Lepisosteus oculatus: one gene and its partner. The protein of the gene in region 1 purifies or fractionates together with the protein of each later gene. This does not show direct contact. Links are inferred from orthologs where the notes say so. Each region holds a gene or a part of one and is shown in the gene's direction. Other genes may lie near its edges.

What was found.
Region 2: the proteins of cmtr1 (region 1) and dhx15 purify together in Homo sapiens (co-immunoprecipitation; 3 studies listed by BioGRID and IntAct, with this or other methods). This does not show direct contact. The link is inferred for Lepisosteus oculatus from reciprocal best matches to the Homo sapiens genes CMTR1 and DHX15.

What each region holds. Positions count from the first base shown.
Region 1 is NC_090697.1:30,581,598-30,588,550, reverse strand, and holds the start of cmtr1 (cap-specific mRNA (nucleoside-2'-O-)-methyltransferase 1), read left to right. Parts: upstream 1-3,949; 5' UTR 3,950-4,006; exon of another isoform or gene 4,007-4,134; intron 4,135-4,162; 5' UTR 4,163-4,348; intron 4,349-6,953. Other genes in the region: avidin-like, read left to right, coding at 953-986. UniProt on the Homo sapiens protein: S-adenosyl-L-methionine-dependent methyltransferase that mediates mRNA cap1 2'-O-ribose methylation to the 5'-cap structure of mRNAs.
Region 2 is NC_090696.1:62,447,443-62,454,305, forward strand, and holds the start of dhx15 (ATP-dependent RNA helicase DHX15), read left to right. Parts: upstream 1-3,855; 5' UTR 3,856-3,969; coding exon 3,970-4,040; intron 4,041-6,863.

The sequences.
Region 1 (6,953 bases):
GACTTTAAAGTTGGACCAACACCCAGCCCCAAGCATTATTTCCCCTGACATCCTGAGGTCTTCAAAGGAACAAGTAATACGTTTATTCCATGCTGAAAAGAGAAGAGAGAAAACACAATGTTTCGGCTGTGAAGCCTTCTTCGGGCGTGAGGTCTTTCAAATACCATCAGTACCATTTTCAGCTCTAAATGCCTTCTGGGAATTGCCTCTCAGGCAGGGATAATGTAGGTGAGCAGTGTCTTTCACCGGTACCTCTGACTGCTGGTAGGGAGAATGATTTTTTCGGGTAAGATAAGACACTCCTTTCCAGTGACGCACTGGCCAACAGGCTCACACCAAGGCCGCAAAGATGACCAAACACTGAATGAAAAGAGCCACTCATACAGAACGATTAACATTAGAGGACAGAAAACGACAAGTGTGAGAGGAAGAGGTGTCAGGCGGGAGAGAATGAATCACACTGCGGAGAACATCCTCACATTCTGCTGGCTGCTGGACTCTGAAGTGACCAGTACTGCTATTGATTCTTAAACTAGGTGTTTTTCCCGTTAAAGATCCGTAAATGAATATGACCTCTTGAACTGTCTCGCCCGTAGTGGTCCTGTCACTACGGCCCCGCACTCGGACACGAGGGTCTCGCCCTGGTCCTGTTAATACTGGTGCCGCGCACTGACTCGGGGGTCTCGCCCTGGTCCTGTCAATAACGGCGCCGGGCTTGGACACCTCAAGAGTCCCCAAAATCCCAAACTCTTTTGTCAGCAGTATCTCAATAGTGAGTTCCTGTAAATACAGTACTTCCTCAGAAACAACAGGTACCTCAGGCTACAGATTGTAGTGCCCAAGATCTAGACCTTTTGCACACATTTCATTGTTAAATTTATCTTTAAAGTGTGCAGTTTTTAAATGTATGCTGGAAAAATGTAACAAGATACTTTTGATTTTTTTACTTCAGGGTTGGCAAAGATGTGTTTACTCGGCTCCCCTGAGATCTCTTACTGGAAAATCAAGCTTAATTTTCGCTACAGACTGCTGCTCCTCTGCCAGTCCTGTGTCTCCTGTCCTCCAGTCCGGCAGCGCCATGGCCATCAAGCCTTCAACGGGACACGTCTGTCAGCTTATAGAGCCGAACCACCTTTGAACCGTTGAATGTCACATGAAAATTACTGATCAACCCAAAAGTCTTTATATTAACCCTTCAGTCCTCTCCTGCCCCAGAGTTCATAGCGACAGGGCCTTAACCTAAAACCTAATCCTAACCCTTCAGACCATATTGTTAGGGCTAACTTAACCTCATTTAACCTTATTTTAATCCTAATTTTAACCCTAACCTTAACCATCAGAACATAAACTGTGAGGGTTTCAGTCGTTGGAAGGACAGTGCAGCCCTCTTTGTCCCAGGTGGTCCCCTTTTGCAGAAAATTTGAAAAAAGAGCTCTATTCCCCTATCCTACCCTTAAACTTAGCCCTACAGTCAACTGCAGAGCCCGTGATCCAGGGTCATCATCAGTCAGCATCGAAGTATCTTTGCAATATCTGCAGTCTAGTTTCCTCCAAAAGAAAAGTTTGAAAAGAGTGAGACGAGAAATCCTTACCTTTCAGAGCTGGTTCATCTCTGTTACACGCAGGGATTAAACCTGGAAAAGCCAGAGAGCAGGGGAAGACAGTCTTCCACTTCAGTCCAACAGCTTCAGCTGACCCTTTAAGTTACAATGAGGCCTTATAACATTCGGAGAAATGTCCATTCAGACATCTTTAGCAAGCCAAGACTTGTCTTTCTGTGCTTTCCTGTTTCCATTGCTATAGCAGCAATAAATATGCAACATGCAAAACCTGCTGTGTCTCTCCGATCTGTCTGGTTCTGTTAGCTCCAGGAGAACAGGGCTGCCTGTGAGCTCGGTGTTTCTGAAAGTCTCTGCTCAGGCCTCCTTTCCCCATCTGACTGACGGGGAAGAAGTAATCTCTTTGCCAAAATCCTGAAATACAGTCTAAACACTTTCTATAAACAGGCATACTGTAATACATATGAATTTTAAACACCTTTGTCCAGTGATTCTGATGCTGTCATATAAATGGAACTACTTGGATGGCTTTTCTTAGATACTGTTTTCAAGTATTTTATTTATATTAGATATTATTTATCACTTACAACTGCCCCACCTTCACAAAGTTATCAGAAACAAGTCGTGTGTTTTTGTAGCAGGTTCACTGACATTCTCCAGCACAGAAACAGTATCCATATATTCATGATGTGTTGATCAACAGTGAGTGTGTGGCCATCGGTGGAGGCTGCACAGATGCTGTGTTGTGGGATTCATTTCCATGACTTTAATGTACATCTCTGCTTTTACAACGAGGCATGACAATCCCATAGTGAGGATTTCATTTTTTTTACACTTCAATCTATAAAATACATCATCACTCTCAAAATATAATTATACAAAACTCTTCCTGTCGTTAACAAAGGCTGTAACATTCTTGTGAAAGTCAGGTTGTTATGTCCAAATGCACTGGCTCCATGCAGAGAAAAGTGGTGTCCAGTGGTTAGTCAATCCACTGGCCAGCAGCGCTGTCCCCATGCTGTCCACTCGGACACACAGTGAGAGAGCCCTCCCTGTACCTGTACCTGAACCTGTTCCTGTACCTGTACCTGTTCCTTTCAAATGAGCCGGATAAGGACAATGACATCCAGCATCTCGCAAGGAAATCAGCAGGAGCAATCTACCACAAAACTGAAACCAATCTGAGCAACGTACAGGTGGCATGTGAAAGGAGTCGGATCCTGGTACAGTACTGTCTTACTTTCGGATCAAGATATCGTTGACAGCTCTGACAGACAGGGAAACAAGTCCTGGAAATGATTATGTGACATGCAAGAGGCATTTACAAGGCCTGCAGTCAGATCCCTGGTGCTGCACTGTACGTGGAACACGTGACGTACTCAGATCATCAGTGCTCTGTCCCAGGAGGTCTTCCTCCATCAGCTCCTCTGGGTGGGTCATGATGTCGGACTTCAGGCCCGCGGAGAGGGGGGCTCTTCCCTAGAGGAGCCAGGGCCGTTCAGAGACATGATTACAACAAACACAACACGACACGAGATTATGACCCTCGACCCAGGCCTCTTCTTTTTGCCTCATGTCCGTCTATCGAATACTGCCGCCCCTCTCTCTGGATCACAGGGCTTCAGCTTCTCCCTGCAGTGGCTAGCACACCCCTCCCTACGTAAGCCTGTGTGCGAGCCTGTCTTTCCACGAAGTAACCCGGGAGTCACCACAATACTGTTGTCTTACCGTACTTGATTTTCGGACAACATGAGTACAACAAATTGTAATGTAGATTGGAAAATTAAAGTTTAAGCAGCAAAATCCTGGGTGGATATCAGTCAAGGCAGCATGGTGGCGCTGTGGCTAGCATTACAGTCCTGTGGCCCTAGGATCAACTCCTGAGGTGCTATCTGACTGAAGTTTGTATGTTCGCCCTGTGTTTGTATGGGTTTCCTCCAAGTGGTCTGGTTTCCTGCTACAGTCCAAAGACATACTGGTATTACTGGTAGGTTAATTGGCTTAAAGGAAAGTTGTCTCTGCTGTGTGTGTACCCTACGGTGGACTGGTGTCCCATCCTGATTATATCCCACCTTTGGCCCATTGCTTACGGGGATAAGCTCCCCTACAACTCTGGATTAGATGGTTAAAGAGTGGACGGGTGAATGGATAAGAAAGCTTAAATTGAATTAAAATTCTGTAAAACCTCTATGAGGAATACTAAAGGACAGTAACTGAAAATAAATAACTCAAATAATCATTTTTTAGTAATATTCCAACATTTTACATTCTACTTTCTATTTCATCAATTGGTTCTACCTTATCTCTATCTTACAACCCTGGTCGTATCGGTTACATTGCAATATTCGGGCACAAGAGTGAACACCATACATACGTCACTAATGCCAGCCGCGGGACTGAAAGGACCCCAGCGACACCAGCGCAGAAAATCGAAACTGGAAACTGAGGTTTTGCTTGTTTGCTTGTGGGATAGCGGGTTTGAATGCGACATAAGTATAGGGTTTCAGAAGTTAACTTCACATTGGGAATCGACTGTTCGAGACTGGGAGCTAAGGCTATGTGAGAGAAGCGGCTGGTAAGTAACGTGTTGATTTTGGAAACAGGACCCAGTGGGCACCCGATCGGAAGGAGAGTGGATCGCCTTACGATCGGTCAGGCCCGCTTAGTACTGAACCGAGCCGAAGAGAAGCAAGAGGACGTGGAAATCAGCACTCGTCTGCTTACGAGCCGGGTCAGCGAGGCGGGAATGAGACAGCTGGTCTAGTGGGACTACAGCTCCGTAACACGAGGTACCGCTTGTCTGGTTCGCACTTTCTCTGAGGTTTGCACTGTCGTCCTTGGTCAGGGTAGGACCAGGGCGGGTTCGCACCCGCGTTTCACCTTTAGATAACTAGTGGCTGCTCGGTTGTAGAGGGTAGTCAGTACCAATAAGAAGGTACGCTTCATGGGGATGAAGGTATGCGCTCGTTATTGCAGAGGAGAAAATGCTAATACAAATAGAAACGAGTTCTCCTCTTTCTAAATTGCTTCATTTAGCGATACTAATTTATTTCATTTATACTCATTGTACCACTGAGTTGCATTATTACTATCTTTCACTGACTAGTAAAATAATTTCCTTGTACCCACTTGTCGGCATGTGGAAACGACGGCATTCTTACTACAAGAAGGACAGAAATTATACGCTATAACGTGGGAGGTCCAATAAGAGTCCAATTATAATATTCAGAATAGTAACGGAGGGTGGATAAATGCTTATGCTTAAATGTAAGGAGAATTGGGAAGGAAAGAAACAGCCTCTACTGCATTAGCAGGTGATTCCACTGTTATGGAAGTGACAGATAAGTAGCTAAGGGAGTGTGGTGCTGGCCAGTAATGCAGTGAGTGGACAGAGAGAGGCAGGAAGGAAGGAAGAGCCAACCTACACTGTAGACGAGTGCCTAGTCCTGACCCTCTGATTCTGACTCTGTCATTCATTCGCCACACTGCTTGATTTCTGGCCATCCTGTGTACTCCCTTGTGTTAATTCCAGGAAGTACAGTGAGCAGGTTCCGTTTCATCTGGGTTTATAACTGGTCCTGTATAGCTTTCCAGACCTCTCTTTTGTTCTGTGTCGATTACAAAAGGATACAAATGTGCGAATAATACCAATAACCCTGGCGTATGAATACGAGTGTGGTACAAATGTTGTTTCACAGATGTGCTGTTTCAACATAAACACCCAAGTCTTTTGTATAAGCAGCTTCTTCAAGCTCAGTTTCTTGTTTTGGATTTAACGTTTACAGTTCTCAGTCCAAATGCGTTTCCATTTTCCTTAAGGGCAACCACCTGTGTTTTCAGAATTAATGCTTTATGAGGAGCTTTTTCAAAAACCTTCCGTAAATCTAGATACACCATATCCTGTATCTGTTGCTGCTGTTGTTTGTTCAAAGAACTCTGACATGTTGGTCAGACAATACCTGCCTTCCATGCTTAATCTATAATCCAAGTTTATTGGTCTATAGTAGCTTGGGTCAGTTTTGTCACTCTTCGTGTGGATGGGCTCTACATCAGCTGCTCTCCAGTCCCTGGTACGAGCCCTGTCTTGAGGGACTGTACTGTAACAGAAGTCAAGAGTTATTGGTCTATAATGACCAGTAGTTCTCCAGTCCCTGGTACGAGCCCTGTCTTGAGGGACTGTACTGTAACAGAAGTCAGAGTTATTGGTCTATAATGACCAGTAGTTCTCCAGTCCCTGGTACGAGCCCTGTCTTGAGGGACTGTACTGTAACAGAAGTCAGAGTTATTGGTCTATAATGACCAGTAGTTCTCCAGTCCCTGGTACGAGCCCTGTCTTGAGGGACTGTACTGTAACAGAAGTCAGAGTTACTGGTCTACAATGACTATATTGTCCAGTAGTTTTCCAGTCCCTGGTACGAGCCCTGTCTTGAGGGACAGCTGGAAGAGCTGTGTAAGTGTCTTCTGAATCACAACTGTCATGTCCTGGAGTACAGTTGCTACTGTAAAATACCATCAGTGCTGGGATTTATTCATCTTGAGGGCTTTTAGTACATGAATCTCTTCTCCCTCTTTCGTATTGGTCCTGTAAAATATAGCACTGTGGTCTGTACCTGAGGCTTTCTTTAGTAAATACCTGGGTGAAATACTCATTTAGTATATCAACCATTTCCCTCTAATTGTCTAGAAGTTTCCCATCTTTATCTCTCAGATACATGTTACTTTATCCTTAATGATTTTCTTGTGCTATTGAAGAGTGTAGCAATTATTTGGTTTAACCATAGCAATATTACTTCACCTCTCTTGGCAATACACACTGGTTGAGTATCTGGGATAAGAAACAACAAGGAAAAACAAACCCTGATGAAGTACAGGCTCAGTGATCACTACCTGGGCATAGAAAGTGGATAGAGGCACACCTGGCTGCCCAGAGAGGACAGGCTGTGTTCCCACTGCGAGCTGAGAGAAACAGAAGCATAATACAGCATATGACCTCCTCTCACAGCCCGAGGAACAGACAGTGAGCCTGACTCTCAATAATGATAATATTGTGTGATCTCCTGTCCCAGCCTGAGGAACAGACAGTGAGCCTGTCTCTCAATAATAAGAATACAGTGTGTGATCTCCTGTCCCAGCCTGAGGAACAGACAGTGAGCCTGTCTCTCAATAGTATTAATACAGTGTGTGATCTCCTGTCCCAGCCTGAGGAACAGACAGTGAGCCTGTCTCTCAATAGTATTAATACAGTGTGTGATCTCCTGTCCCAGCCTGAGGGACAGTGATCCTGTCTCTCAATAATAATACAGTGTGATCTCCTGTCCCAGCCTGAGGAACAGACAGTGAGCCTGTCTCTCAATAATAATAATACAGTGTGTGATCTCCTGTCCCAACCTGAGG
Region 2 (6,863 bases), on another chromosome or scaffold:
GGACTGAGAAATAAAGTATGACTAACATATCAGCTATCCCGTGTAATATAATATACTGTTCTTTTCACTTTTTGTGCTAAAAGCTATTTTAAAGTTAGAGCCTTTATAAGTTTGAATGCAGCCTAATTCCTTATTTCTAACAGGGAAAAATATCATTTCACTCTTCTTTTCTTTGTCAGAAGTCATTTTATGTTGATGTTCATCTAGGTATTTTCAATTCAAGTGCCAGTCATTTTAGCTATAAAACAACCCCCTGCTCTTTCCCTTCCTCCTGCAAAAGGTTCCTTTTCCTCTGTTTGACAGCGAGGCTGCCAGGCAGTCCTATTTCACACACAATTGGACTGTTATTTAATTGCCTGTGAAAGAAGTGGAAAAAAATGGCTGGTATTTTAAATTAGTTTTGAATTTGGAACATTAGTAAGGCTTACTTGTAATGTTAACTTCTTCTTTCCCATCACCATCAATCCCTAGTTACAAGCAATGAGCCATTTGCCATTACAAAGATTGTTAGCAATGCCCAGGTTGTGTAATTACCTGTGTCAATTGCAATGATTGTCTTAGGTGTCTACCGATTCATCACTACATAATCCAATAGCTTTTAAGCTGCATGGGATCTTATTAAAGTGGCTATGTCTATGGGGGCAGTGTTTTTAACGGTCTTTGTTATGGAATATAAATGTCCCATTAACAGACTGATTGTTTACATGGTTATCCAATGTTGCAACCAAAGTTTCCTGTTGAAAATAATTTATTTTTTGTTTGCACCTCACAAGTATGAGCAGAAATAATTTTAGATGCTATTTAATAACTTTTAATAATGATAAAATTGCAATTACTTTTGGCTAAGGATCTGTGCCTGTGGCTGGAAGGTTGTCGGTTTGTATCCCATGGCCAGCAGAGGAATCCTATTCTGTTGGGCCCCTGAGCAAGGCCCTTAACCCCAACTGCTCCAGGGGTGCTGTATAAATGGCTGTTCCTGTGCTCTGACCCCAAGGTTCTCTCTCTGTCTGTCTGTATGTCCATGGAGAGCAAGTTGGGGTATGTGAAAAGACAAATTCCTTATACAAGAAATTGTATTTGGCCAATAAAGTGATCTTATCTTATCTTATCTTATACTGTTGGTGAAAAACAATACACAGATTTTACCGCAATGGTAAGGAAGTACACATTTAATAAACAATACATTACCTCCAGTTGTGTTGAAGATTTTTCAGAGAGGCAGGGCTATGACACTCTCCTCACCCCAATCATTTTTCCCATCATGCATGTGGCCCAGGTCATGATCTGCAAAAAAGTAAAGCTCGCTCCCACATTGCAGACGTTGCATGACTGTTTTTGGCAGAGTAACAGATTCTGCTCCTTCCATGGCCAGAAAATCTACCACATTTGTCTCAGATTGAACATTTGTCGAACAAAGTGATTCAGTGTCTTACTGCCTAGTGAACTCTAAACAGATATTTATGGATTTGCTGAGGAGCTGATCAACATTTGGAACACTCCAGAAGCAGTCAGCATCAATAACATTACAAATCACTGCTATAAGGTACTTGCAGTCACCAATGCTAATGGTGGCCCAACAACATACTTACTGACTTTGTGATCTGCATTAGCACCATCCATGTCATGTGTTATAGGGACCAAGATATTGGACTTAGATTAGGACGTATGCATTTTTTGGGGGAAAGCTTCTTACATTAACTTATTCTCTTGTATATCGTATATCTCACAATACAATTGCTATTTTCTGCAGTTTCTTTTTTATGGTAGTACAGTACATACGGTAGTCTATATGACTCTCTCTTCTAAATACCCCAACACATATTTTATTGTAGTTAAGTTGCAGTTATTCATTACTGTAATTTAATGCAAGTAGATTAAACTCATTTGCAAAATTAATGACTCAAAAATATTAATAAGTTTAATCTTGTTATTATTGAGAATCGTCTACAAAAGCATAGGAGCTGTTCTCAGAAATCATTTCTGGGAGTTTTTTAAGATTTATACACCACCATCTTTTTCCTGGAAAGATCAACAGCCTGGGGCATCAGTTTCTAAAGTTTCTATAGAAGAAAAATAATAGACTAAATTAAATAATTAAATAAATAACTATCAAATTACATGTTGACAGCCAAGGAAAACCAGTAGGTTTATGCTTCACTGGTGTACACTAGGTTTATCACACTCTACTGTGGAGCATGTGCAGTGTTATGGTAGATTTTGTAGTGCTCAAGCTCATCACATCTTAAACAGAGTTAATAGGGTCCATAGCTATATTGTTTCAAAACTCAGGATTTCTCAAGTTTGCTCCAGCCTTGAATGAACTTCTGTTGGTTGGAAATGCACTTCGCGAATTGCAAAACATTTGCAAATGCATGTAATTTCTTCAGTTTTGCAGGAGACCATGACCATGATACATTGTTTTCAATGAAAACTGCATCTGCCCTCCTCTCACATTTTGTTTTTTGTGAGAGATAGCCAATCAATCCACAGAGTAACCAGGAAAATATATGCTAGATATTTTGCAATTCCTACCAATGTGGTCATTAGCTAGAGAAGGATCATTTTGTTACCTGTTGTGGGCACCAACATGTTTGAATTCAATCTTATTCCATTTCATTCTCTAATGTAAAACCAAATGGATGTACAGTAAAAATGCTTCCTAATTTAAATGAAGAACAGGGAATAGACCAAATTTAAAGCAAATAATTTTATTTTTAAGTGGTACAATACTCTAATAATACTTTCTCTAATAATACTGCTGAAAAGCCAGAACTATATGGAAGTACATTTTAAATCAAAAATAGAAGACACGTCTTTACACAAAGGGTTGTGGGAGTTGAGGAACAAGCTACCAGACATTGAAGCTAATACCTAGGCCCCTTTTAATAAAGGCCTGATAGATCAATTAACTGCTAATACGGCTACCATTTGTTTATAACTAATCTTATGTCCACTGGAGCCGAGGCTATAATCCCATCTCCTACCCCCATGGACCCCTCCATTACAGTGTATCCATGGATGTTCACATAGTGTAAGTAAAAAATATGAAACCAGCACTCATTCATTTCCACAGTCATTACTTATCCAGCTAGCCTGAAAATTGCATATTGAATAGTTGAGAATTCATGTTTTGCCTAGTTAATAATGTCTGAAAAAATGCGTGACCACTTTGGATTATATTCTTATATAAAGTTATACAGGAAATTAGTATTTTACTTACAGTATATTGCCATATATATATATAATATCGTATATATGTGTGTAAAAAGGTACATTGTATAAAGTTAGGCTGTCCTGGATGTCATCATGAAATGCATTACTTTTTGGTAACACAGATATGATCTCAACAGTCTAAACATAATTATGAAATCTAACATCAGCAACATAATAATAGTTTAATTTTGAGTACTGGTGAAGACACTTAGCATGATGAAAACAGTTACGCCGGCGTTGTAAACTATAACAGTTTGCAACACTATACGCGCTAGGCCTATCTACGCGATAGAACTAAGTTGTCGAAACTGGTATCGTTTTTAATTAATACAATTTTGAGTGCAACGAAGCCCAGAATTGACACCAGATTTTCCCTAGTCAAGAACACATCCACACGTCACGGAGGGAACAGAGGGGCGGGAAGGTTACTGTACTGTCTTCCTTCTTCCGGCGGTGCCGGCCGGCTTTCAACACTCCGCACCTGATGAGCTGTACCATCCTGGACTCAAATATTTTTATTTAATACATTTCATAATTACATATTTGTGGAAAATAAAAGAAAATCAAACACATCTATATATTTTAATGAAGGGGTTATTTTCATTATTTTATGTGAAATAATAAAGACGAGATGAGTGGTTCCGGTCGCCATCTTGTCGCCTGGTGCTGTGACTGAAGAGGAGGGTTTGTTTGGGAATAAGTGTGCATTTCAGGTGTATTATTTTTTTTAAATAAACCTTTTCCCGGTCAAACAGTATGTCCAAAAGGCATCGGTTGGATTTAGGCGACGACTATTCTTCTAACAAAAAAAGATCGTCCTCTGACTTGTAAGTTAATGGTGTTTTTTATTGTTTGGGTCCGGGAAGATGGGTTATGCATCTCGGCGCCTTCCTCGGGTCAGCGAGTACTGTGCAATAGCAGTCTCGCTCACCGCTGTTTTCCTAAAATCCGAGTTTAATACTCTTGGAATAATACGCTTGGAACGTATTATTTAAAAGTTAAAGTGGCTTTAATTTACCAAGACGGGATTACAACACGTCTTATTTTGTTAGACATGTATTTTGTTACACGTGGGATTCTCTTGCGGCCTGTATGCGGTTTGCAAACAAAATGCTCGTCTTGCATCGAGTTTTTAAACTTGCAGAAAGCTTTTTAAGTCAATCGTGTCCATTGTAACACTGAGGGGTTACGATATGCGCCGCCTCAGTCGTGTTTGTCCTTTGCTCAAATGCTCTCTCAACACGTGTTGGTAGCTGCAGTTGTTGTTGCAGACGGTATGTGATTGAGAGCCTCCAGCCTGTGTAGGTTTCCGTGCAAATATACGTTTTGGCGATTAGTCTATGATAAGTAAGTCTGAGGCATGTTTTTAAAACTTCCAACAACAATGTTTAGTTTGCGGTGGGCCGGCATGCGGTGAACATGGTTTTCTTGTGACATCTGATGATGATGGTTTATGCCTTTATGGCCTTATCCTCGGTACATCTCGGTAGTGTTAATGCAACAGCCTTGCTATAAACTAGTGGCAGCTTAAACGGGCGACGTTGGCGTGGTGTAGCTTATTTTATATTTTCTTTTTGTTTTGTCACTGATTACGTTGACGCTTATGAATATATTAGAAATGGACCGCCAAAAGTGTGGATTGTTGTAGTGGGCTGGGGGCACTGGTCTGCTGAACGTCCCAAACAACAGGCTGATTCACTTGAATATGTACTGAGCGTGAAAACAAAATGGATCATTCTGTTTTTGCAAAGCACATGAATTTTGGATATTGATTGTTTTGGGGGCATTAAATGAACCGATCTTGATGATTTCGTTGTACAAGAGCTACATTTCTTTATTAATGATAGGGGGTGATTCAGCCTATGGAATCCTTTGTGAATTGTTAAAAAGCTAGGAATTTGCCAGTCATTTTGAATATTTCATATTCAGTCCAGATTAGACTAAAGTAATGAATGTTTGCAAGTGGCACAGATGTGCAGATCTAGAGCAAAGTCCAAGTTTTGTGGTCTGGGCAGGGGTGTTGCTATGGAGTGCCTCAAGCAATTTTATCACTAATTTGCCACATGGCATTGTAAGACCTGCGACCTCACTTGCTGTCCTTCCTGCATTCACATCCTGATATGACAAAATTCCAGAAGGACAGCTCACACATAAATCATATAACAAGTGAAGGTTTATTCCATGCTGAAAAGAGAATAAAAGAAAACACAACTTTTCGGCCGTGGAGCCTTCTTCAGGTGTGAGAGCCTGAACTAAATCATATAATAGCCGGCCTGAACTAAATCATTAATTAAACCTGGACTAAATCATATAACAGCTTTTTTGTGAAGTGGGAACATGGGAGATATGACATAGTTGCCTTTTCTACAGATTTGATGCCCATTGAACGTATATGGGGTGGCATAATGGCCCGGTGGTTAGCATTGCTTTCACTCACAGTCCTGGGGCCCTGGCTTCAATTTCAGACTTGGGGTGCTTTCTGTGTGGAGTTTGTATGTTCTCCCTGGCTTTGTGTGGGCTTCCTCTCACAATCCAAAAGCGTACTGATAGGTTAATTGGTTCCTGGGAAGCTGCACTGTGGTTTATGAGCGTATGAGTGTCTCTGTGTGTGCCCTGCAATGGACTGTCACCCCAGCTGGGGTAGATCCTGCCATAGGCACTGGCTCTCCCGCAACCCTAGGCTGGATTAAGCGGTTAGAAAAGGGATGGATGAACATATGTGGGATGAGTTAAGACAACATGGCAGGGAAGAGGCACATGCTTGTTCAAACCCTGAGAGAGGAATAGGACAGAATCCCACAGAATGTGTTGCAGGTGTACAGCTTGTGCTACTTCCAGTGGTGCCCCCACAACCTACTCGCTTGTGACTTTTACTGTAGACCCTGTGTTGATCGACTCTGGTGATGATGATGATGTATCGGCATAATGAATTTACCTGTGTGTCCAATAATATGTCAGTGTAGTTGCACTACAAATATTTTTGGTACCTTTGCAAATATGTTGTTACTAAAGGTTTCTTTTAATGCTTATTGTATTTGAAATGAAGTAGCCGATCTTAAAGAATTACACGCGTCCAGCTGTTAAAGCCTGAAAGGCAATGGCCACCTTTATGGCTGTATCAGAAAGCCATGGTCATTTTCTACTGTGGGAAAATGTTCTGCTCTTATTCACTCAAAGCACGTAGCTAGATTTTGGTTCCATCATGTACAAGGATCTTTTATAAATAAAATCTGTGATTTTTGAAGGTATCCCCAACACTACTCCCTGGAAAAATCGAAGATGCCACAAATTATAACGATTAAAAAAAAAACTTAGTAATGTTTCCACCTACTTTTAGAAGGTCTCACATCATGCCCACCTGTTTGCAAGGAATATTAAGATTTTGAATTCTGTGACTATGCCTATCATATGCACAGTTTCAAACTGAGGATATTATTGAATATTGAAGTAATAGGCCATTGATTGACAGCAGCATTTTGTTTGTCAATCTTGAATATTCTGTAAATCTGACCGTGTTGCATGCTAGTTTACTCAGTAATGCCAGGGGTCTATTTATGTAGTGTTTCCAAAATAAAGGTAAATTTAATAAATGTAACTACCAGTCTGATAGATCAAAAACTCTATATAAATGCTGGTAAAGAGTGTGAACA